Linked DNA regions of Alligator mississippiensis. The protein of the gene in region 1 binds, or shares a complex with, the protein of each later gene. Links are inferred from orthologs where the notes say so. Each region holds a gene or a part of one and is shown on either strand. Other genes may lie near its edges.

Region 1 (8,019 bases):
ATATGCAAAGCTTCCCATTAATAAGCGTTTGTGGGGTGGAAGAGCACAAGATGGTTTCAAGACAACAGGAAAAGCATATGGAAAAGCCAGATGGGCACAGAGAAAGCATATGGAAAAATACAGCCATATACAATGGAGGACATATACCTTCTGAAAAGGGGCTGCTAGTTTCATGGCCCCAATCCTACAAGAAGCTTGGCATAGGCAGAACCTTGAATCTGCAAAGCCCCAATATAATCAATGGGACCAAACCATACTGGAGGTCATTTCCCTATTAGATCCCCCAGGCTGGAAAACAGACTTGAAAAACATGTTTGCAAAGTATTCCAGTTCTCTGGGCATCTTGCAGCAATGCAAAAAGTACAACTCACCTCTACAAGCCTCTTCAAAATCCTGCGTAATATCTATCCAGCTGGTATTACTTTTTTCCATCTTGTCAGGTATACTGAGCTCCCATCCTGAATCATCATCTTCTACAGAAGCTTTCATAACCATACTACTGCACCTATACATCCAAAGCACAAACACTGCACATCAAGAACAAATGACAGAGTGCTTCACAGGGGAGCAAATGTTATTGCTCAAGGAACACATGCAAATATAAGTTTAAAAAGCTGTAAATGTAAATTTAAGGCTGGTCAGCCCCAACATTCACCTTCCCTTCCAAAGGATGTTTTCTCTTTTAGAATTCCCAGATACATCATATGGGATAACATTTTGCTGTGCTTATTTTTGTGAGTTTAACAACAGCAATGCTAGGTTGGAGAACCCCTGATAAAGTCAGAGTTATCGTAAACCCCCCCAATATGTTAAAACAATATATGAACAGTTTCAAACACTATATATGCTATTTTGGGGTGCCAAACTCATTTGGCCCCTGGTGCAGGCCCAGTCCGCATGCTGGATCAGGCCTACAGATCCCATTCTACCCTGCCGCCCCACCACATCTGCCTGGCTAATGTAGCACAGGTGGCACAGCCCTCCTAATAGCTATGTAAGTAGTTTCTTCTGAGCAAGAAATGTCCTTAAGTGGTTGTTTTTACTCATGGTATAATTGGGAACAGTTAGCAATGGGCACAAATAATGTGCCGGATATGCACGTGTGAGAAAGCAACACACACCCAGAGTGTGAAAAATCACTGTTAATCCCTCACAAATATTCCAAATAGGCAAAATACTACAGCTTCTCCACACTAGCCAGCCAATGTAACATATATTATAACCCTGACTTCACTGGCATGTCAATATTGCATCCGGACTAGGTTTTAATTCAGGTCAGTTTTGTCAGCAACAAACCAGCCTCCGTACAAGTAAACGGGAAAGAGGAGAGGGGTAACAGTACACACAGGTTGCCAGGAAAAGGATGGCACTCTTCTTCTCCACGTCCATCATAGATGAGCTGCTGTTTAAGAAATCTGGTCCAGTCAGAGAGGTGCTGCTAACAGCGCATGTCCCAGGCACTGAGCATGGGGATGCTCTAGTGCAGCAAAAGGGGCACCACCAGGGGCTGCGTTATATGGAGCTCAGCAGACTGCATATATGATACCACTACACTATACTATACCTTTCCTTTCCAGTTGTTTTATAATAACCATCATCGTCGGCAATCCCTCGCAGTCAAGGATGACCATCTTCCATTATCATCTTATCTGTGGGTCCAAAGATGGCTGACAAGGCCTATCCAGGATTGACAGACACCACTGCAACTTGGGCATACGTTTCCATGCAAGGCGGGTGGCTCTGGGTTCTTGGTTCAGTCCACAACACTGTTTCTGCCACTCCCATTTTTCCATCTCCTGTTGTCATTTTGAAGTTTCAACGTACTAAGATCCTTGCAGCAGACTCTTCCTCCATTCAGCGCAGTGCTGGGCAAATCTCCCATGAGCTGATATCACTTTTGCATTTTTTCAAGTTAGCCTTGAAGACATCCTTGAAGCACTTCCCTTGCCCTCCTCTTGAGGGTACACCTTGCCTGAACTGGGAGAATGCAACTTGCTTTGGGAGTCTGGAGTCACAAATCCAGATGATGCGATCGGCCCAGCAATGCTGACATTGGACAATCATTGCCTCAATGCGCATGGTGTTCACTTGTGAGAGGACACTAACGTCGGTGCGTCTGCCTCCCCACTAGATTTGAAGGATCTTCTGCAGGCAGCGTTGACAACACTTCTCCAGCGCATTGAGGCGTCTTCTGTATGTTACCCACAGGTCTTTGGCCCACAAACCCTTAAAGTGGCAAACAGGTCTGTACGCCATCCATGTCTCAGCTCCACACAGTGAGGCAGGGATCATGACTGCTCGATTAACCATGAACTTGGCTTCAGATTGAACATCACCATTTTCAAACACCCATTTCCTCAGGCGCTCCAAGGCTGCCCTTCCACATTAGTGGCTGTGAGAGCTACAGAAGAAGCTGAAGCAGACTTGACCCCCCACCCCTTCCACGCACCATATGCAAAATGCTTGAAGCCAGGCAGGCCCCAAGCCCTTTCCAGAGAGTTTCTTAACCACAGCCCTGGGGACCAGGATGAATCCACGAGCAGAAGTGCCAGAGCAGCGGGGTGTGAGGGGACATCCCGAGGTCACTAGTCCAACCCCCCCAGCCCTACACACCCAGGGCGCCTGTAGCCCTAGAGACCCTTCCCCCTGCCCCAACGCAGACATACGCTGTTTGCGTAGCGCCGGGCCCCTCGAGCCCCTGCGCAGCCCCCGGCACCCCGCTCGGGGGCTCTGAGGAGCCGCTCCACCCCCACCCCGGCGCCAACCCCCTCCCGTCAGACCACTGCTGACGCAGCCACGACGGGTGAAAGGGAAGGCGGGCCACCGCCTCACCGAGCGCCGCTGCTCCCGCCTAGCCGCACGCCCCGCGTCTGCGTCGCTTCCCGACAGCGCCCGGCCCCGCCGAGCCCGCTGCTGCGCACGCGCAGAACCCCCTCGCTTCCCAACGGCCGGCGTCCGGCTCGGCCTCAGGGTCAAGCGCATGCGCCTACGAACCCCCTCCCCCCATTTCCGGAAGCCGGGGCTAGGCTCTTTGGAGTACGTATGCGCCAGTCGTGCCGGTGAGCAGAAGCCAAGATGGCCTCTGTGCCGCGATAGGGCCATGTATCGCGAGAAAGGCCAGCCGCCGAGCGCTCGGTATGGGAAGGACCGGGAGGAGAGGGCGGGGTTTGCGGCAGAGGTGGGCGTGGCTAGGCGGAGGGGCGGGGTATCCCGTGATCTACTGCTCTGCGGGCGTTTGTGGTGCGCTCGGCGGAGCTGGTGTTGCCTCCAGGCAGGGCTGGGGGTGTAGCTCGGGCCCATGGCGTCCGCTGTGGTTCGTACTCTGCGCCTCCCCGTGTCGGGACCAGCTCCCCTCCCGCGGTCCCAAACGCCCGGCGGGGCCGGCTGGGCCGGCGTGGGGGCGGGGTAGGGAGGTGATGGAGACGGGTTGGAAGATGCGGAGGGCTGGACGCAGCAGCAGGGGAAGCAAAGAGGCGGCGGGGCTGGGGGTGGGGGCCGCAATGGAAAGCCGAGCCACCTCCCCGACAGAGGGCCAACGGAGGGACGGAAAGAACTGCGCCCGAAACCTCCAGAGCAATTACTTTTACTCCCAGGCAATGGGGAAAATAAGTGCCAGGTGCAAACGAGGAGCCACCTCCTGGGTGCAAGGTGGGAGCTGGGGTTTTAGTTCGGGTTCATTTTCTTTGTCCATAACAGACCAGCCTGGGCAGGAGGAGGCAGGGAGAGGAGAGGGGCCGGGATGTATGCAGGGTGCCTGGAAGAGGGTGCCCTCTTGTTCTCCATGCCTGTTGTAGACGGGGTATAAGAACCTGGCAGGGGAAACACTGTGACCGCTAACTGGGGTAATGTATATAGTTAGTCTCCTAGTTTCCCTTCCAGTGGGATGATCTGCTACATGCCAATTTTATGGAAATGGGAGACTCCTCCCTAGCTCACTCCTGTGGCCATACAGCTGACAGTAAGCAAAACTCAGGGGCATCTGAATCCCAAGCCTCTGGGCTTGGGCCTACACATAGGATGCCCGCCACCAGATTTGGAAGCATCTGAAGCTCCAGGGATGGAGGATGCTTGCCGGTAGCAGAGCCACATATGGTTCTTGGCTGACTCATGGATTTGGAATTGATTTAGCTGATTTGATTTGGGACATGAAAAATTTTCTTTAAAAAAATGTTTTAGACACTGTGTGTTCTGATTTGAAATCTGTGGATTTAGCTTGTGAATCACATATTGTGTTTGCACGCTGAAAAGTGCTAATATTGCATAGCACCCTGTGGCATCCCTAAAAGGATATTGGGGCACTCCAGGGTACTGCAGCAACTTGCTTGGAGATCACTGGTCTTACTGCATTTATGGATTGGATCTTTTAAGATCCTTCCTTCCAGGCCTGCACTTCTATGACTTAATGCTTTCTCTTTGTTTTAATATTGATATTTGAACACCTGCATGCAATCCATTGGAATTATGCAAGGGTATGTGTGATAGAATTAGAGCTGTGTTGTGAAGAGCTCTCAGGGATATGAGATTTAATATGATTTTAGAAATTTGCAATCAAACTGAAAGGTGGCTTAGGATGGTGTTTAATGAAACATACTTATCGGAGACTACATGGTTTGTTCAAATATGTTTGATAGGCAACCTTTTTTTTGCCTTTGTATTGCATTCTATGTGGTTTTGCTGAAGTGTCCTGCATAATGTTGTATACTTTACCACAAGGGCCTAATTTATTACTCATAATTAATTATTTCAAATAACACAGATGTGGATGCTGCTTATAAGCAAAATAATACTGACTAGCTCAGTGATTCTCAATCAGGGTGCTGTGACATTCTTTTAAGGGTGTTGCAAGGTCCTACACAATATTAGCACTGTTAGATGTGCACGGATCTACATACGATTTGCAAGATAAGTCCAAAGAATTCAAATAGGATTCCACAGCGTCAAAAACGTTCTGAACTGTAGTGTTTTTGAGTTGCTTGCAATAGAATTGTTCTGTTATTTTTCCACTGTCTAAAAAAAACAAAAGAAACTAATTTTGTTGAAAGGTGGGGGGGAGGGCACTGACTTCAGAGAAATTATGGAGGGGTGGGTTGAAAATTGCTGGTCTAGCAATTCACTTACTGCAGGTTAGTTCAGCAAATATTTTTGCTTTCTGGGTTATGAGGAATTAGTTACATGACGTGTCTCAGCGGTTCACTTTTACTGTGTACAAAAACACACATTCTCTAAAAGCTAATGTCATCACTGGTAAAAGGAAGCTTCTGTGTGAACTTTTGTTGTAACAGTGTCTGTTGTTTATTTCTGTAGTGTTGAAATATGCTGTTAGATTTTAATCCTTTCACACCTCCACTTATTTTACAGGCCCATATACACAATATTTAAAGATCTCAGGATAAAGATTGCACTTGCAAAGAGCAGGTTAATGGTATATTGATTATTGGAAAGTAGCTACTGAAGCCAGGGGTATTCTTAACTAATTCTTATGATAAAAAATGTACTAATCCCTGACATAGGAGACCAGCACCAATAGGCACTGTTTCTTTTCCAGAAAAGACACTGAAGTTCTGGGGGCTCTGCCCTTTTTTGTTACATGAGATAATGGTAGTAATGCACTTAATACTTAATATCTTTAATGTCCAATAGACATGTCCTTATCCTTTGGCTAGACTAATTTCATGTTTTATTTTAAGTTGGTTTTTTTTTTTTAAGCAAACTATAAAATCTTTGGGATTGTTACTGGAACTTAGTGGCTTTGACTTGCAAGTAGTTTTTTTCTAATTCTATTCGGGTTGGGTAGTACTTCTGTGATGGGTGCTGCAGTAGTTTTTGCCGAATGTGGTTGGTCCCACTCTAACGCTCAGACAATGTGTGTCGCAACCAAATGGAACCTGTTATCAGTTTTATTGCAAAAAGCCATATGGCCAAAAATGAATTGAGTTAGAAAAATAAACGAGGGGCACGACAAGTCTCTCACTGGGGTTGTAGAGAGGCAGCAGCAAGGCACCAGACTTCCATGCGTAGACCCTGAGATGGTGCGGAGTCACTTGGAAGAACTGGATGCCTTTAAGTTGGCAGGCCCGGATGAGCTCCATCCGAGGGTGCTGAAGGCACTGGCTGACATCATTGCAGAGCCACTGGCGGGAATATTGGAACGCTCGTGGTGCATGGGCCAAGTCCCAGGGGACTGGAAAAGGGCCAACGTGGTCCCCATTTTCAAGAAGGGGAGGAAGGAGGACCCGGGCAACTATAGGCCAGTCAGTCTCACCTCCATCCTTGGTAAAGTCTTTGAAAAAATTATCAAGGCTCACATTTGCAAGAGCCTGGCAGGACAAATTATGCTGAGGGGAAACCAGCACGGGTTTGTGGCAGGCAGATCCTGCCTGACCAATCTAGTCTCTCTTTATGACCAGGTTACGAAACGCCTGGACACAGGAGGAGGGGTGGATGTCGTATACTTAGACTTCAGGAAGGCCTTCGATACGGTATCCCACCCCATACTGGTGAACAAATTAAGAGGCTGTGACTTGGATGACTATACAGTCCGGTGGGTGGAGAATTGGCTGGAGGGTCACACCCAGAGAGTTGTGGTGGATGGGTCGGCTTCAACCTGGAAGGGTGTGGGCAGTGGGGTCCCACAGGGCTCGGTCCTTGGACCAATACTCTTTAATGTCTTCATCAGCGACTTGGACGAGGGAGTGAAATGTACTCTCCAAGTTTGCAGATGACACAAAACTGTGGGGAGAAGTGGACATGCCGGAGGGCAGGGAACAGCTGCAAGCAGACCTGGACAGGTTAGATAAGTGGGCAGAAAACAACAGAATGCAGTTCAACAAGGAGAAATGCAAAGTGCTGCACCTAGGGAGGAAAAATGTCCAGCACACCTACAGCCTAGGGAATGACCTGCTGGGTGGCACGGAAGTGGAAAGGGATCTTGGAGTCCTAGTGGACTCCAAGATGAACATGAGCCGGCAGTGTGACGAAGCCATCAGAAAAGCCAATGGCACTTTATCGTGCATCAGCAGATGCATGATGAATAGGTCCAAGGAGGTGATACTTCCCCTCTATCGGGCGCTGGTCAGACCGCAGTTGGAGTACTGCGTGCAATTCTGGGCACCGCAATTCAAGAGGGATGCGGATAACCTGGAGAGGGTCCAGAGAAGGGCCACTCATATGGTTAAGGGCCTGCAGACCAAGCCCTACAAGGAGAGACTAGAGAAACTGGACCTTTTCAGCCTCCGCAAGAGAAGGTTGAGAGGCGACCTTGTGGCTGCCTATAAGTTCATCACGGGGGCACAGAAGGGAATTGGTGAGGATTTATTCACCAAGGCACCCCCGGGGGTTACAAGAAATAATGGCTACAAGCTAGCAGAGAGCAGATTTAGATTGGACATTAGGAAGAACTTCTTCACAGTTCGAGTGGCCAAGGTCTGGAACGGGTACCCAAGGGAGGTGGTGTTCTCCCCTACCCTGGGGGTCTTCAAGAGAAGGTTAGATAAGCATCTAGCTGGGGTCATCTAGACCCCGCAGTCTTTCCTGCCTATGCAGGGGATCGGACTTGATCTATTGAGGTCCCTTCTGACCCTAACATCTATGAATCTATGAATATCGTCCCTGGCATGGTCTCCAGTTCACATTAGGGAGCTCAGCCTGGCTGCTTTTGTGCATACTAAAAATCCCAGATGTAATGCAACTTCCCTCAGCATGGGAATGGGTGTGTGCCAGTTGCTGTGCTTGAGCTAGAGCTCAGAGGTATGTGCCTAGCTTTGTGGCAGTTCCATTACTTCCATTTGGGGGTTTAACGTATGTGGAACAGGTATGTTGTTTCACTGCTTTACTCTTTAGTGTAGTCTGGATGCAATATGCCTGTTAACTCAGGGATGCACTGTTACATGGACTAGCTAGTGTAGAGTAGCTGTAGTATTCGGCCTGTTTGGAATATTTGTGAGGGATTAACAGTGATCTGCACTTTGGATGTGTGGTTGTATTGGTACCTGCTCTCCCTCCCCCTATGCCTGCTGTTTT
Region 2 (6,987 bases), on another chromosome or scaffold:
CAGAAAATATAGAAGAGATATCTGCATTAACATTGCCAATGTAAGTAATCAAGCCTTCTTGGTTTTTTCAGGGCTTCAAACTAAAAGAAGAAAAAGAAAAAAAATTACTGCTGAAAGATAAATCTGAGTTCGCTTCTACCACCACAGATATTGCAAAACTACTTAGAATACATTATATTTCAGAGCACTCTATTCACCGGTTTTGAATCTGCTGATATAAACCATACATTATTTGTCCAGATTTTTATATTTTTAGGATTTTTTTGAGACATCACTGGGTCTGCATGCCATTGTCCTTTTCACAAAATGATCTTCCCAAATCACTCTTCGCCAAGAACTGAGCTACAAAAACTAAGTGATGCATCTAATATGGTTACGCTGTATTCAACAGTGCCTTTGGGCCTTACTGATTACAGCTGAGACATCCAGGCTGCTGACAGACATGAAAAAAAAAATCCAGAACCATGCTTTACCGGAAGAGGAAGCATGCTGGTTTGACCTGGTCCCACAGCGTCTATAGAGATCAGGTGCTTTAGTGGGGCTTTCTGGCACTTTTATCTGATAGCTGATTCAATCAGCTATCAGATAAAAATGCCAAAAAAGGTTCTGCTGAAGCACCCGATCTATACAGATGTTGGGCGACCCGGGTCCAACTAATGCAATGCCTCTTTTGGGCATGTGCTGGGCAAAGTGCAGGGATGTGCCGAGTTTTAACTAAAGCACCTTTTCTTGGGGGGTTTTTACATCTGTAAATAGACTCTGTCCCAACTCAGTATCGTGTGTGCACACAGATTATTTGTAATTCATATCACACAAGTGGTTTAAAAAGGGCTGGGATTATTTGGTATAAAGACAAGTCTAGATGCACACCAGGTAGAGGCTTAACACGATTTTACAATAAGCAGCTACAGCAGCTTGCTGCCCATCGCTCTCGTACTATTCTACACCAAACCGATCATCAACTGCGGTTCCAGCGTTTAACACCACAGCAAGTGTCAGTGTTCACGTAATATAAACCTGTCTTCCCCTTATGGTTTTACATTTGTTGGGTCTGGTTTGTGCAAAGCTTTATATGTTTTACACAGCTCCCCACAACCACCTCTACTCCCTTTTTTAGGACTAAGGTGTGCACACAGCTTTGGAAACCCTGAGACAGACGGTTAAGTTGTGACAGAGGTTAAATGGAAGTCATACACAAAGTTTAAAAATGTAACTCCTGTATACCTCACCATTACGTTTTTCAACCCATTACCCCTTTTTTGAGTCTAATAAGTTGGGCTTGTATTGTCTGGAAAAGCATGCAGTCTTGATTAAGGCATCAAGTAGTGAACTCTCCGTTAGTAGGGAAGTGCCAAACAGCTCCACGTATGCTTTTAGACACGTGAGAACTCACATAAAGAAAATTCAAATATGCACCTAAATATCTGCAGGCCTAATCATGCAAGTATGGTTCCCTAGCCAGCTTATGTAGGTGTGGAAGTTCGCACGTATAGACTGCAACACCAAACTTTTCACCATGAAAGTAGCTTTAAAACTTGCTTCTTTTAGACAAAGATTGCCAGCCACTGACAAACAGACTACTGGAGCAAAACTGTCGGCCAGATACCAGATTAGATGCATTGTTAGCACAGTACAGCCATCCTAACCCAGCATGACACTGCCTAGGTTTCAGCCATCCTGCTGCGTGCTGCACCGAGAAATACGGCTGTGCATAAGCTGCATTTTAGAGTAATCTGGCAAATCAAATAGCGCGAGACCTGCAAAACTCTGATCCCCCATCCCTCCCCGCTATATCCGTAAAACAAACCCAGACGGTTCGAAGCGACTGACTTAGTTCTGCTTTACAAAGGCGATGCTGGCATTACCTTACTTACGCACGTGGGCGAAGCGCTATTTCAATTTTCACAAAGGTGGAAACCGAGATAGGAAGAGACGAAGTGAGCGGCCGCAGGTCGCAAAGCCGACGTCAGAAACGCGACCGTAACCCACGCGCTCCAAGACCCCGGGTTCGAACCCGACCGGGCGCGCGACTAAAAAAAAAAAAAATGCAGGCGCGCCTCGGTAGACTCATCCGAAAAAGAGTTTCCCCTTCGCCTCTGCTCCCTTCCCCTCCCCCGCCGCGCCCGGCACTTACCAAAAAGCACAGCTGGGGCCAGTTGTGGATAAAATACCTATATGTGTAAATGGAGTAGGGTTCAGACAGATCTTTGGTGATCAGTCTCATGATATCGGGCATCTGCAGCTCGGACTCGTAGCGCACGTATCCTATCGTGGGGTCCTCCTCGGGCCGAGAGTCCGTCCCCGAGCCTTTCAAGCTGCAGCCGGCGGCTAAGGACCGGGTGAGAAGCAGCAGGGGCTCCTCCGCCGCCTCGTCCTCCTGCTCTTCTTCCTCCCCCTCCTCCTCCTCGGGCCCGCTGCCCCCCGCCAGTCCATTGCGGGCGGCCCCGACGGCGGGGGGCGCAGTCCTGCCCGGCGGGGGGAGGTGGTTGGCGGCGGCGACGGGCCCCTCCTCGGCGCTCAGCACCTTGCTCTTGAGGGAGGCGCGGAGGCGGCGCAGCTCGGGGCTGAGGAGGCCGTTGAGCTGGTGGTTGTGGTGCGGCGGGTGCGGGTGCAGGAGCCGCGGCGGCGGCGGCCCCCCCTTGCCGGGGCCTTCCTCCTCCTCCTCCTCCTCCGCCGCCTCGTCGTCCTGCGCGCCCGCGCCGCCGCCGCCCGGCAGCGGGCACAGCGCGTCGCCCGGCGCCGCCACCGCCACGACGCTGCTAGGCCCCGGCGGTACCTCGGCCATGTCCTGCGGGAGACACCGGCCCGCGGCCGGGGGGCGGCGCGTCAGGCCGGGCCGGGGTGCGAACAAAGGTAGGCCGCGCCGCTCCCTCTCCCGTCCTCCCCCCACCCCCGGCCGCCGCCGCCGCCCCCCGGCCGCGCTCACCCCCGCGTCTCCTCAGCGCCGCGGCTTCCCCGCTCCACTCATCCAGCGGCCGTAAAGCGCGCCCGCCGCTGCCGTGACCCGCGGACAGGTTTCCTGTCAGCGCGTCGCGACGCAGCTGCGCTTGGCGGCCGGCCCTGGACACGCGCCGAGGGGAGCCGCGGGAGAATGCGGAGGGGAGGGATCTGCGCAGGCGCGGCAGGGCGCAGCCGTTGGGAGCGGGGTGTGGCGCGAGGCAGCGCCAGCCAATCAGGAGCCGCGCGCGCTGGAGGTGGGGGCGGGACCCTTCGCTCGCTCGCTCGCGGGGTTCTCCTCAGCCCCTCCGGGAGAGGCAAGGGGAAGGGGCCGTCACCCCCGCCCCACCGCCAACGTGAGTGCAGCTGGCCCTGGGATCGTCCCCCACCCGTGTTTTTAGACCCAGAGAATAAGGGTGGAATCCAGTCAGTCGCCAACCCGTCCGTAGAATGGCGGCCGAGCGCGGCCGTGGTGCTGGGGGCCGTGAGACGGGGTCCTGAGGGCTTTGTGCTGAGGTAGCTTTCGGGATCGGTAAACTGGCGACATGTAGGGGGTGCACGGGCACCCCTGGGCGTGGCGGGGCACCCCCTGCGAAAAGGCACGCCAACACTGCTGAGAGGGTTTCGGTGGCGTCTGCGGGTGGTTGCAGACTGCCATTCCCGTGGTCGCCAACACCGCCGTGGCCGCCTGTAGGAGCTCACCATCCCCTAGCCTCCAGGGGCACGCAGCGTTCACCAAAATTTGGGGTGGGGGGGCACCAAAATGAGACGCAGAACAAAATAACAGGAACGTTATTTTAAATACAGGCGTCCCCCGCTTAGCGCTCCGAATCGGTTCCTGAAAAACCGAGGGTTCAGTGAAACGAGCGTTAAGCGAAACCGGCAGGATTTGACGACCCGAGAGGGCGAGCGCAAGCGTTATAACGAAACTGGCCGAGCGCGAAGTGGAACCAGGTATCGATTTCAAACGAGCGTTACAGCGAAATAGTGCGAAGTGAAACGGGGTTAGGCGGGGATTGCCTGTAACAGCTCTGGCCAGCTGTTATAAGTGTGTTAGGGTTCATGGAAAGTGTGAAACAATTAAAAACAAAAATTAGTTTTTATTGTTTTATTGTTCATTTTGAAAATCAAATAAGCACATGTGAAAGTTCATTCTAGACTTCTTCTTTTCCTCTATTGAAGCGTGGGGATGTCGAGGTACACAGTTCGCCTAGGGCACCAATTACCCTTGGACCGGCCCTGATCTGTTACCACCCTGGTTCCCCACCTGAGACTCGAGAGACGCGGGGTTGGAGATGAGGAAAATGCCAGCTTTTTGCGTTCACTGGGCTTTTTTTGGCAACTCAAAAATAAATTTCAAAACACGTTGGAAAAAGACTTTGCCCGTCTGTTGCAAAGAACTTGGGCAGCGATGGGGCAAGGTGGTTTCGGCAAGGCACACTTTAGAGGCCCCCAAACTTTTGCAACAAATGTCCAACTTGCTTATAGGTCATCAAAATTAAGCCAGTAAGGGGCCCCGAATGACTCTCTTGCTCAGGGCCCCAACAAGCCTAAGGCCACTGCTGCTTGAAAGGACCTCAGGGCATCCCAGGTGGTGGAGGATCACCGCATTGTATAATACCACGTGAACATACCCACACTTGCCCACTGACACTCCAGTATTGCCTGCTGCTGGGCAGAAGGATCTCCCTTTACAGAACTCATGTGGGATTTGGGATTAAAACAGTAAAACTTTTATAGCTGGCATCTGCAGCCTCTCCTGTTCCCTTGCCACTCCGTCACTCAATGGACTGGTGTTAGGAACAGGGATGCACACTGGCAGCATTGCTCTTGGGACACTCCCTAGTAGGATTCAATCATATCTAGCTGGCCACAAGATGCTAATTACCCTTATCGGGCTCTGCAAAGCCATTTGAGTGGCCATGATAACTCCTGCGGCTGGTAATGTGTTATCACTAAGAGTAGCTCAGCTCTTCTGCTGGCCGGAAAGAATGAATATTGTTATTATTCCACCAAAGGAATATACTAGCCAAACCGCTCCTTCTTCCAGTGGGGTGGGGACAGTTGTAAGCTTTCTTTGTCGTTGTTTCAAAGAAAGTCATTTAACTCTGCCGTGTGGAGGAACCTCAAAGAGTGCATGTAAATAGAAATCAACTTCCCTGCCTGTTTTTTGCAAGTGACAGAATTTGAGAGGATACAAGCAAAGGAGGTTGGAAGAAGCTATCACTGAAAGTTCAAATTCTGCTCAGAAACTAAGAGCAATCCTTCAGAACAAGGAGTTCCTTTAAAGATTACCTCAAATACATGAGACATGAAGATTAAAAAAGGGACTATGCAGGTCTGTTGAATGTAGAACTCATTCATTTTCATGTACTGTCATTTTTTTGGAGAAAATGACAAGTCTAGATTTTAAAGGAAACTAGTCATTGCTGTATGTGCCATAACAGGTTGCTTAACTAGGAAAAAACCCTCTGTACTTCAAGCTTCCGTCTTTGAGTTGCTGAGCTCTCAGAAAAATAAAATACCAGATTTATAACAAATGATTCAATGTTTCTTTAACCACAGAGAATAATGGAAAACCTTCAAGAATGAAAATGGACCTATATTCATTTATATTTAAATATATATTTTTAGATTTCCTGTAGAAAAAAAATAACGTATATTATCTCTAGTACCACTGACCTTTCAAATCTCACAGTTGCTTTGCATTGTGCTTGTATGGAGCCCAAATACCCAACTGTATGCGGATGGGGTGAATTTCACCCCTTTGAACAAAAAGAAACACTGAGCTATTGTATAAAGAAGTCTTATTGTACCAATGGACACATTTTACTCACAGTTACAATTTTGCAAGAGTGGAATTGGGAATGTTTATTTCTGAATGTTGCAATCCCAGCCATGTTAGAAAAGCAATCTATTGTTGACAGTTGCTGTCAAGCAAGGTTGAAAATGATTTAGCTGTTACTGGAAAAAATAATGCACCATCTGAAACATATTCTCAGACAATAATGTGTTTCATCTATTCAGCAATAATGCTGAAAATGGTTTTGACTCATCTATATTCGCCGCCAAACCATTTTCAACACCAGTTAAGGTGAGGACTTATTACTGACAATGGTTATGAATAAACAATTCACAAAGTCCTACCTTTAATCCAGTGACTGTCCTTGTCTTCTTGGTATTATTTATGTTATTATTTGGTCTATAGTAATGAGAATGAGCCCCTGTCAATGTATAAGCATGTAAAAACAAAAACAATCTCTGTCCCAAAGGGCTTTAAGTTTGCATAGAGAGAGAATGGCTGGGGCAAAAGGAAGCAGAATTATCACCAGAGCTGGGGAAGTGAGGCAGAGAAATAGCAAGTGAGTTGTTCGAGGTCAGACATGTCTGCAGTAGAACAAGAAACTAAATAGATCTCACCGGTGCCTTAACCACAAGTTCAACTTTCCTCTCCCACATAAATTTGCTGTGAAAGATCATAAAATATAATGCTCCCTACCTCATTGAGAGCTTCTTGCTTTTTAGAAATCTGAAGTGCGTAAAAAGCACACACGCATTACTAGAGATAAAACTATAAATTGTTGTAACAAAAAAAAAAAGAAAAATACAGCCAGTGTGGATGAGATCAATTGCACTGAAAAGAAACACTTTAGTTGACATAGTACTGAGGCAGTGTGCCTACAGAGAAGTCTCCCTTTTATTTCTTCTAGTATTTATCTTGAAAGGGACTTCTGCAGGCTGTGTGAACATGGCAATGGTACTTTCAGATATATTAGGAAGGTTATTTCTGTTCTCAAAGGGATTATATATGAGGAACAGGTGTCCACTTCAAAATAATTATCATCCCTTTGGATCTGAATGGATACCATTATTGTTGGCACTTTCAGCACAGAGGAAAATAAATGTATGGTCTGAAAAATGAACTCTCTCTTCTCTCTCTCCTAGATTTAAGCACATTGAAGATGTCTTGTGGGAAGCACTGAACTGCTGCTTCTGCTCTCTGAAATTCAGAGCTCATTTTTCAGTTACACTAATAAACTTTTACACCAT
Region 3 (6,087 bases), on another chromosome or scaffold:
CTCATCTCATAGCAGTGAGAAGGGGTTGGGAGGACCTTGAGGGGAGAGGGAATTGGGGTGACAGCTGCCTCAGGAGGCCTAGCCATTACAGGGAGCTAGAGGGGTGTCAGTGACCTCAGGGGGGGCCATGACCTCCAAGACGAGGCTGGGGTCACAAGCCCCTGGAGGGCTGGGACAGAGGTCCCTCCTGGGGGCAAAAGGGATGGGGAGATCAGGGTCAGGTACACCAAGGGGTGCTAGGGTCAGGAGGTCACAGGTCATGGGAGGTTCATCTTGGGGAGGGGGTCCCCATGGGCAGTGAGGAAAGGGGGTGAGGACCCTCCTTGGGGTGACCCAGTGGACAGGGCCAGAGTGACCAGGGTGGGGAGGTCCCTGATGGGGGTGGGGGTCTGGTTATGTTGGGGGCCAAGAAAAAAACAGGGGTTGGGAAGGGGGGGTCAATACCATGAGGAGGTGGGGGCTGCAGGGCAGGAGTGAGGGGCACCCGTTCCAGTGCCACCCCCCCTATACAGATGAGGCCCGGGCTGGCAGTGGGTCCCATTGCCTTTATTGGCCAGGGGGAGGCTGTGTCCTAACATGCTCCACAGTGCCCAAAGGGGGGCCATGTCCCAGCATGCTCCGCTCTGGGTGGGGTCATGGCCTTGACGGCTCCAGCTCCACCTCGATGGACACGATGTGGTGCCCAGGCACCATAGCCAAGCCCAGCACTCGCGGCTCCGCACCTGAGAAGGAGTCTGGGGGAGGAAGGGGGAGGAGCTGGGGTTAGAGCTCAAGCTGCAGTCCCACCCAGTAGCCTCTCCTAGAGCCCCACCCCCTGCTCCCCTCCCTAAGCTCCACCCCCTCAAGGCCTATCCCCTACGTAACCCCACCTTCTTGCTCAAGCCCCGCTCCCTCCCGAAGGCCCGCCCAATCCACCCTAAGCCCCACCCCCTGGTCCCACCCAGAACCCCGCCCTTTTCGCCCGTAAGCCCCACCCCCCCACTCGAGCACTTCCCTCCCCTAAATCCCACCCCTCCTTGCCCAAGCCCCGCACCACGGACCCGAGGGCTTAAGGAACTCGTGGGCGGAGCCAAGGATGACATTGGCGTCGCGGTCTGTGCACAGGAAGCAGCCAACCAGCGTGCGCCCGTCCGACATACGCACGCGCAGGCTGCGGTTCAGCAATGCCTCCAGTCGCCGCCGCGCCCGCGCATGCGCCGAGCCCACCTCGCTCTGCGCTTGCGCCGCCAGCGGCTCCGCCTCGCTCTGCGCCTGCGTGAGATTGCAGGGACACATGACTCCCACATCTAGACACTGCGACTGCGGCGAGAGCGGGGTCCATAAATACGTCACAGCCCCCAGCTGCACTGCCTCAGCGTCCCTTTGTGCCTGCGCGAGGGGTCCAGGCATGTCACTACTCGTGTTGTGCGCATGCGCCCGAGGCATCTCCCTCGCTCTGCGCCTGCGCAGAGGGAGACTGGCGAAGGGGGGAGGTGGCTCGCCTGACCCCGCCTCCTCCCTCACCACGTGATCTTCCCAGCCCCGCGCGCTCACCCCGGGGATGCTGCTGTCACCCGGCGACTCCGCCATGGCCCCGCCGAGTCTCCCCTTCCCGGCAGTCCCTGCGCGGCTCGCGGGAGGAGGGATGACGAGGAGCTTCCCGACAACCTTTGCGCGGCGGGAATGGTGGGGCGGGCCTTAGAACTACAACTCACGTTGGACCTTCTGCGCCATTTCCGGGTGTTGCTGCGCATGCGCATTGGGGCGGGAAGGGTGAGCTGGTTGCTATGGTAGTGTGACGCCATGGAGCCCGGGCGGCGGCCGCGCTACTTCACCCCGCGCGAGGTGGAGGCGCACGCGCGGCCCCGCGACCTTTGGGTCAGCTTCCTGGGGCGCGTGCACGACCTCACCCCACTGGCGCGCGAGCACGAGGGTAGGCGGGGCGCGCCCGCCCTCCCCGACCCGCTTCCGGCATCGACCCCCCCCCCCGCCATCTCCGGGATCCCCCCTCCCCACACTTCCGGGACCACCCACTTCCGGAGTGGTGGGATTCTCTTCCCTCCCCCCCATGGGTCTGTGCTACTTCCGGTTCCCCCCAGTGGGTCTCAGGCCCCCTCCTCTACTTGGCCTCTCCCCCCAAGGCCCCTCCCCCCACCCCAGAGTCGACTAGCTGGGTGCTGAGTGAAGGGTCTCGGTTATACTCAGCTGGGACCCTCCCTAGAGCTGGCTGCATCTCAGAAGGCTGGGGACACTTGCACCTGGCCATGGCCCACCCCAGAGCCGGATGCATCTTGGTGCTGAGTGAGGGGTCTCGGTTATACTCAACTGTGATCCACTGCACAGCTGGATGCATCTCAGTGCAGAGTGAAGGGCCTCTGTTATAATTAGTTGTTGTCCAAGCTAGAGCTGGCTGCATCTCAGGATCGGGGACCCTGTTACAACTGGCTGTGGCCCACCTCAGAGCTGGCTGCATCTGAGTGCAGAGTGAGGGATCTGTTATACTCAGCTGTGACCCACTCCAGAGCTGGCTGTATCTCAGCGCCAAGGAAGGGATCTCTGTTACACTCAGCCATGACTCGCCTCAGAGTCAGTCTCACAGCAAGGCCTCTCCAGCTGTCAGGGCGGATCCTGGGGTGCAAAGGATTCTGCTCCACGCCCCCCAACTAACTCCCCTCTATTGCCCCACCCCCAGGTGACGTGTTGCTGCGGCCCATCCTGGAGGCGGCGGGGACAGACATCACCCACTGGTTCAACCCCAAGACGCGAGATGTAGGTGCTGCCAGGGGCCAGGGCAGGGGAAAGGGACTCTTGGGGGCAAGGATTTCCTCCCCTACTTCCTGTCCTTCCTGCCAGACATGGGGCAGCAATTGCACCTTCCAGGTGGGTAGGCAGCTCCCGCTCCACCCCAGTGCTGGCTGCACTGAAGCCCTGGGCTGTGGGGGAGAAGGTGTGGTATACACAGCCTCCCCTGAGAGCTGCCTGCATCACAAATGGGGGGTCCTTGTACACAGCTGCCCATCCCCAGAGCTGGTTGCATTTCCTTTCCAGGGGGGGTCCCTGTTATGTGAAGTCGGGTGCACCCTAGAACTAGCCCCATCTCTTTGCCATGATGGGGGGGTCCATTCCCCGCTCCCCCCACCCCCCTGCAGCTGCAGACCTGCGTGGATCCTCTGACAGGCTGCCCTAGATACTACACGCCCCAGGGCAGGGTCCTGCATGTGCCCCCGCTGCTGCCTCGCTCTGACTGGGCCAACGACTTTGGGGTACCGTGGTGGAAGGATGTCAAGTACGAGGTGGGCATCTTGTCGGCCAAGACCCGGCTTGTCCGTGTCATCAACACCCTCACGTCCCAGGAGCACATGCTTGAGGTGAGCTGGGAGGGACCTGTGTGGCCCAAGGGCAGGGGTGGCAGGGCGTCTGTGGATCACTGGGGGCCCTAATGCCAGGCTGGGAGGGGTCTGTGGATCTGAAGGGCCTGCGAGGGGTCTCTGCCTTGGCTTTCCCCATGCTCAGTGCCCCCATGACCGCCCCCCTCAGGTGTGTGCGGAGGAGTCGCTGTGGGAGATCCTGCGGCGCTACCTGCCTAACAATGCGCATGCGGGCAGCTACACGTGGAAGCATGCAGGTGCTGTGCTGGACATGGAGCGCACGCTGGAGCAGAATGGTCTGACTGATGACGATGAGGAGCTCTGGCACCTTGGCCTCGACCCCAGCCTCCATGCCCCTGGCCTGCTGCTGCACTTCAATGACGACCTCACCGAGCTCTAGGTAGGGCCTGGGCAGCGCCTGGCACCCTGGGGTCTCTGTGGGGTTTGTACAGCGCCTGGTGCGCAGGAGACAGGGCAGGACACAGCGCTCTCGGGAACCACAGGAGTCCTAGGTTCAAATCCTGGCCCTACTTGGGGGGGCTCAGTCCTGTGTGCCCACCTTCTCTCTGGGGTGGCAGGGCCTGGTCCCCTGCTGTTGTTGGGGGGCCTGGTGTCAATTCAGGCCCTGTGAGGGTCTCATCCTGCTCTGGGCGGGGTGGAGGCTGGTAAAAGCTCCGATGCTGAGATGGGAAGAGCAGGGGGAAGCCAGGACCCTGTGCAGTCTGTGCAGCACCAGGGCCCGATCCTGGAGGAGGGGGGTCGTGCCTGGCTGTGTGGGGTGGGGGGGGGACTTGCAGGTGGCCCCTCCACCCTGTCCTCCTGTCCTTTCTCTTCCAGGCCTGGCCATGCCCCCGACGTCCAGCCAGGGGTGCTGGAGTCTCATCTTAGCTCATAACACAAATAAATATTCTTGGTCTTGACCCCACCTTGGCCCTTCCTTCCAGAGAGCAGAGCTGGCCTTGCCTGGTCGGGGGATCCAGGGGCAGAGACCCCCCCAGTCTCCAAAAATCTCGGCCAGAAATGCCCCACGGTGGCTCACTCTGACCCTTGCAGTGGTGGTTTGGCTCCCCTGCCTGGCTCCACTGGGTACAGCTCCAGTCCAGCCACTAGAGGTCAGCGCTTGAACATCAGTTGCGGGTCCGGGACTGCCCCTGGGGTTTGTCTCCTCCTCTTCCCCCCCCCAGCCCCTCCCATCAGGAAGGACGGCTATACCAGGTGTCCTTCCCTCTCTGGGGGTGGGTGGGCAGGCATCCCTGGTTGAACAGGGCCAGCAGAGCTGAGGGGACCAGCCCTGATGTGTCTGGTGTCCTCCCCTCAGGGGGACAGCTGTGGCTTTGCTTGCCCCAGACGCAAGGCGGGGGCTGCTGCCAGGGCAAGGGGCCTTCTCTTGGGCTGGTCCTGACCTGGGGGAGACTGGGATGAGCCCTCTTGGGGCAGCTGGACCCGTGACATCTGGGAAGGCCGCAGCCTCCCAGCCCTCCTGTCCTGGGACCGCGGGGCTGTGTGGCGAGGGGGTCATCTCGGCCCGAATCCTGGGATTCCAGGGCCTGGGGATTTATTCAGTATCCTCAGCAAACATGGTGCTGGGGACGGATGCTGGAGCTGGTTCTGAACCTGGAGGGGGCAAGATGGGTCCTAGGCCAGGGCTTCTCTCCCCCCAAAATAAGGCTGAAGCAGGGGCAAGGGGCACGCAGGAAGCAGAGCCCGGGCAGACGCGCAGACAGGCTTGTTAGTCTGACTTGAAGCCTCCTGGCAGTGAGCAGATGACAATGGGGGCAGTTCTTCAGGCATTGCACCCCTGCACTATAACTGGCCACTCTGGTACCCACCCAGAACTCTACTGCTCCTTTTTATCCTGGAACTGGGTCCTGCTCCCCACCTCCCCCGAACCCCCAGAACCCCCAAAAATGTGTGTAGCTGTCCCCTCCCCAGTTCACTTGCCGAGAGGCAGGCCTGCTCCCTTCTCCTTGGAGCACTAGGTGCTGCGTGTGCCGGCACCTTGATGAATCAGATCTCTCCAATCTCAGGCTTCATTTAAAGCCAATGAATAACCCACAATTCCCTGCTGCTGGAGATGGGTCCAGGTCTGGGTCCGGGTCCAATTGAAAGGACAAATTGGATGCCCCTGGGTAGAAAGAATCCTTCTAGGTGGAAGGAGCCCCCAGTCCCCCTAGATCTCTTTTTTTTCTGGGCTGTCCTGGCTGAGACCGTTTGCTGATTGACACGGCTCGTGGTTGGGAGATCCGGGCCCTTCTTATTTGTCTCTTCAGAGTTGAAAGTGGGTACGGAAACAGCTCCTTTGTACCCCAAATAGCCAAAAAGAATGTAAAAAAAAAAAGAGTGCTGGGGGGTGGGGGGACGGTCTTCTGATTTTTCTTGGTGTTGTTCTCTGGGACCTGGGGAGAGCCAGCCAGCCAGCCCCATCAAGTCCTGGCTCAGAGCTGCAATGAAAGGGGATTGTTGTTTTTTTCCATGCAGGGGGCTGGGGGGGGCAGCTGGGGGATGGCTGGGTAGTGACAGGCATGCAGGGAGAGGAGTGAGACACGTGGCCTGCAACAGCGGTGGGGGAGGAACAGCTGCTTTGCAGGAGGGGATTGCCCTGGGCAGGAGCCATGGGGACACCAGACCTCGTAGCAGACGGCCTAGTGACCTCCATGCCGCCTGGGCTGACACGCTAATTGCCCAGCGGGCTGCTTGGCCAGGGTGAGCGGTGGCTGGGTGCCCTATCCGCTGACCCGCA

The links.
Region 2: the proteins of NAA35 (region 1) and NAA30 are in contact, whole or in part, in a cryo-EM structure (PDB 7MX2), measured with the Homo sapiens proteins. The link is inferred for Alligator mississippiensis from reciprocal best matches to the Homo sapiens genes NAA35 and NAA30. Residues at the interface, in NP_001308810.1 of Homo sapiens: Leu45, Gly46, Leu48, Leu56, Ala59, Met60, Ala62, Glu64, Lys69, Glu121, Phe313, Pro314, Arg315, Ala444, Leu510, Glu511, Leu512, Glu517, Pro605, Lys606, Phe607, Glu608, Leu609, Asp610, Val614, Arg615, His618, Arg619; in NP_001011713.2 of Homo sapiens: Glu221, Pro238, Ser240, Tyr242, Thr243, Arg245, Tyr246, His249, Asn250, Lys304, Ile324, Glu334, Asn335, Leu336, Gly337, Val339, Arg340, Asp341, Lys342, Arg343, Phe345, Arg346, Tyr347, Tyr348, Leu349, Leu359, Trp360, Leu361, Arg362.
Region 3: the proteins of NAA35 (region 1) and NAA38 are in contact, whole or in part, in a cryo-EM structure (PDB 7MX2), measured with the Homo sapiens proteins. The link is inferred for Alligator mississippiensis from reciprocal best matches to the Homo sapiens genes NAA35 and NAA38. Residues at the interface, in NP_001308810.1 of Homo sapiens: Val30, Asp31, Ile32, Thr33, Phe36, Ala39, Cys40, Leu43, Leu45, Glu47, Leu48, Leu49, His50, Asp51, Phe54, Glu58, Ala59, Ala62, Ile63, Glu64, Met65, Met66, Ala72, Gly73, Met74, Gln306, Arg307, Leu309, Pro310, Pro311; in NP_001307854.1 of Homo sapiens: Ala41, Arg42, Leu45, Glu46, Leu48, Leu49, Arg61, Phe67, Leu68, Cys69, Thr70, Asp71, Arg72, Cys74, Ile77, Arg97, Val98, Leu99, Gly100, Leu101, Ala102, Met103, Val104, Pro105, His108, Ser111, Ile112, Glu113, Val114.

Annotation. Positions count from the first base shown.
Region 1 is NC_081826.1:204,256,505-204,264,523, reverse strand, and holds the start of NAA35 (N-alpha-acetyltransferase 35, NatC auxiliary subunit), read right to left. Parts: upstream 3,037-8,019; 5' UTR 2,833-3,036; intron 2,486-2,832; exon of another isoform or gene 1,565-2,485; intron 506-1,564; 5' UTR 496-505; coding exon 372-495; intron 1-371. UniProt on the Homo sapiens protein: Auxillary component of the N-terminal acetyltransferase C (NatC) complex which catalyzes acetylation of N-terminal methionine residues. N-terminal acetylation protects proteins from ubiquitination and degradation by the N-end rule pathway.
Region 2 is NC_081825.1:294,637,815-294,644,801, reverse strand, and holds the start of NAA30 (N-alpha-acetyltransferase 30), read right to left. Parts: upstream 3,016-6,987; 5' UTR 2,927-3,015; intron 2,789-2,926; 5' UTR 2,786-2,788; coding exon 2,135-2,785; intron 2,128-2,134; exon of another isoform or gene 1,866-2,127; intron 81-1,865; exon of another isoform or gene 1-80. UniProt on the Homo sapiens protein: Catalytic subunit of the N-terminal acetyltransferase C (NatC) complex. Catalyzes acetylation of the N-terminal methionine residues of peptides beginning with Met-Leu-Ala and Met-Leu-Gly.
Region 3 is NC_081838.1:24,904,121-24,910,207, forward strand, and holds NAA38 (N-alpha-acetyltransferase 38, NatC auxiliary subunit), read right to left. Parts: upstream 1,674-6,087; 5' UTR 1,570-1,673; coding exon 1,534-1,569; intron 1,369-1,533; coding exon 1,041-1,368; intron 735-1,040; coding exon 634-734; 3' UTR 531-633; downstream 1-530. Other genes in the region: cytochrome b5 domain-containing protein 1, read left to right, coding at 1,783-1,912, 2,672-2,748, 3,129-3,347, 3,517-3,747.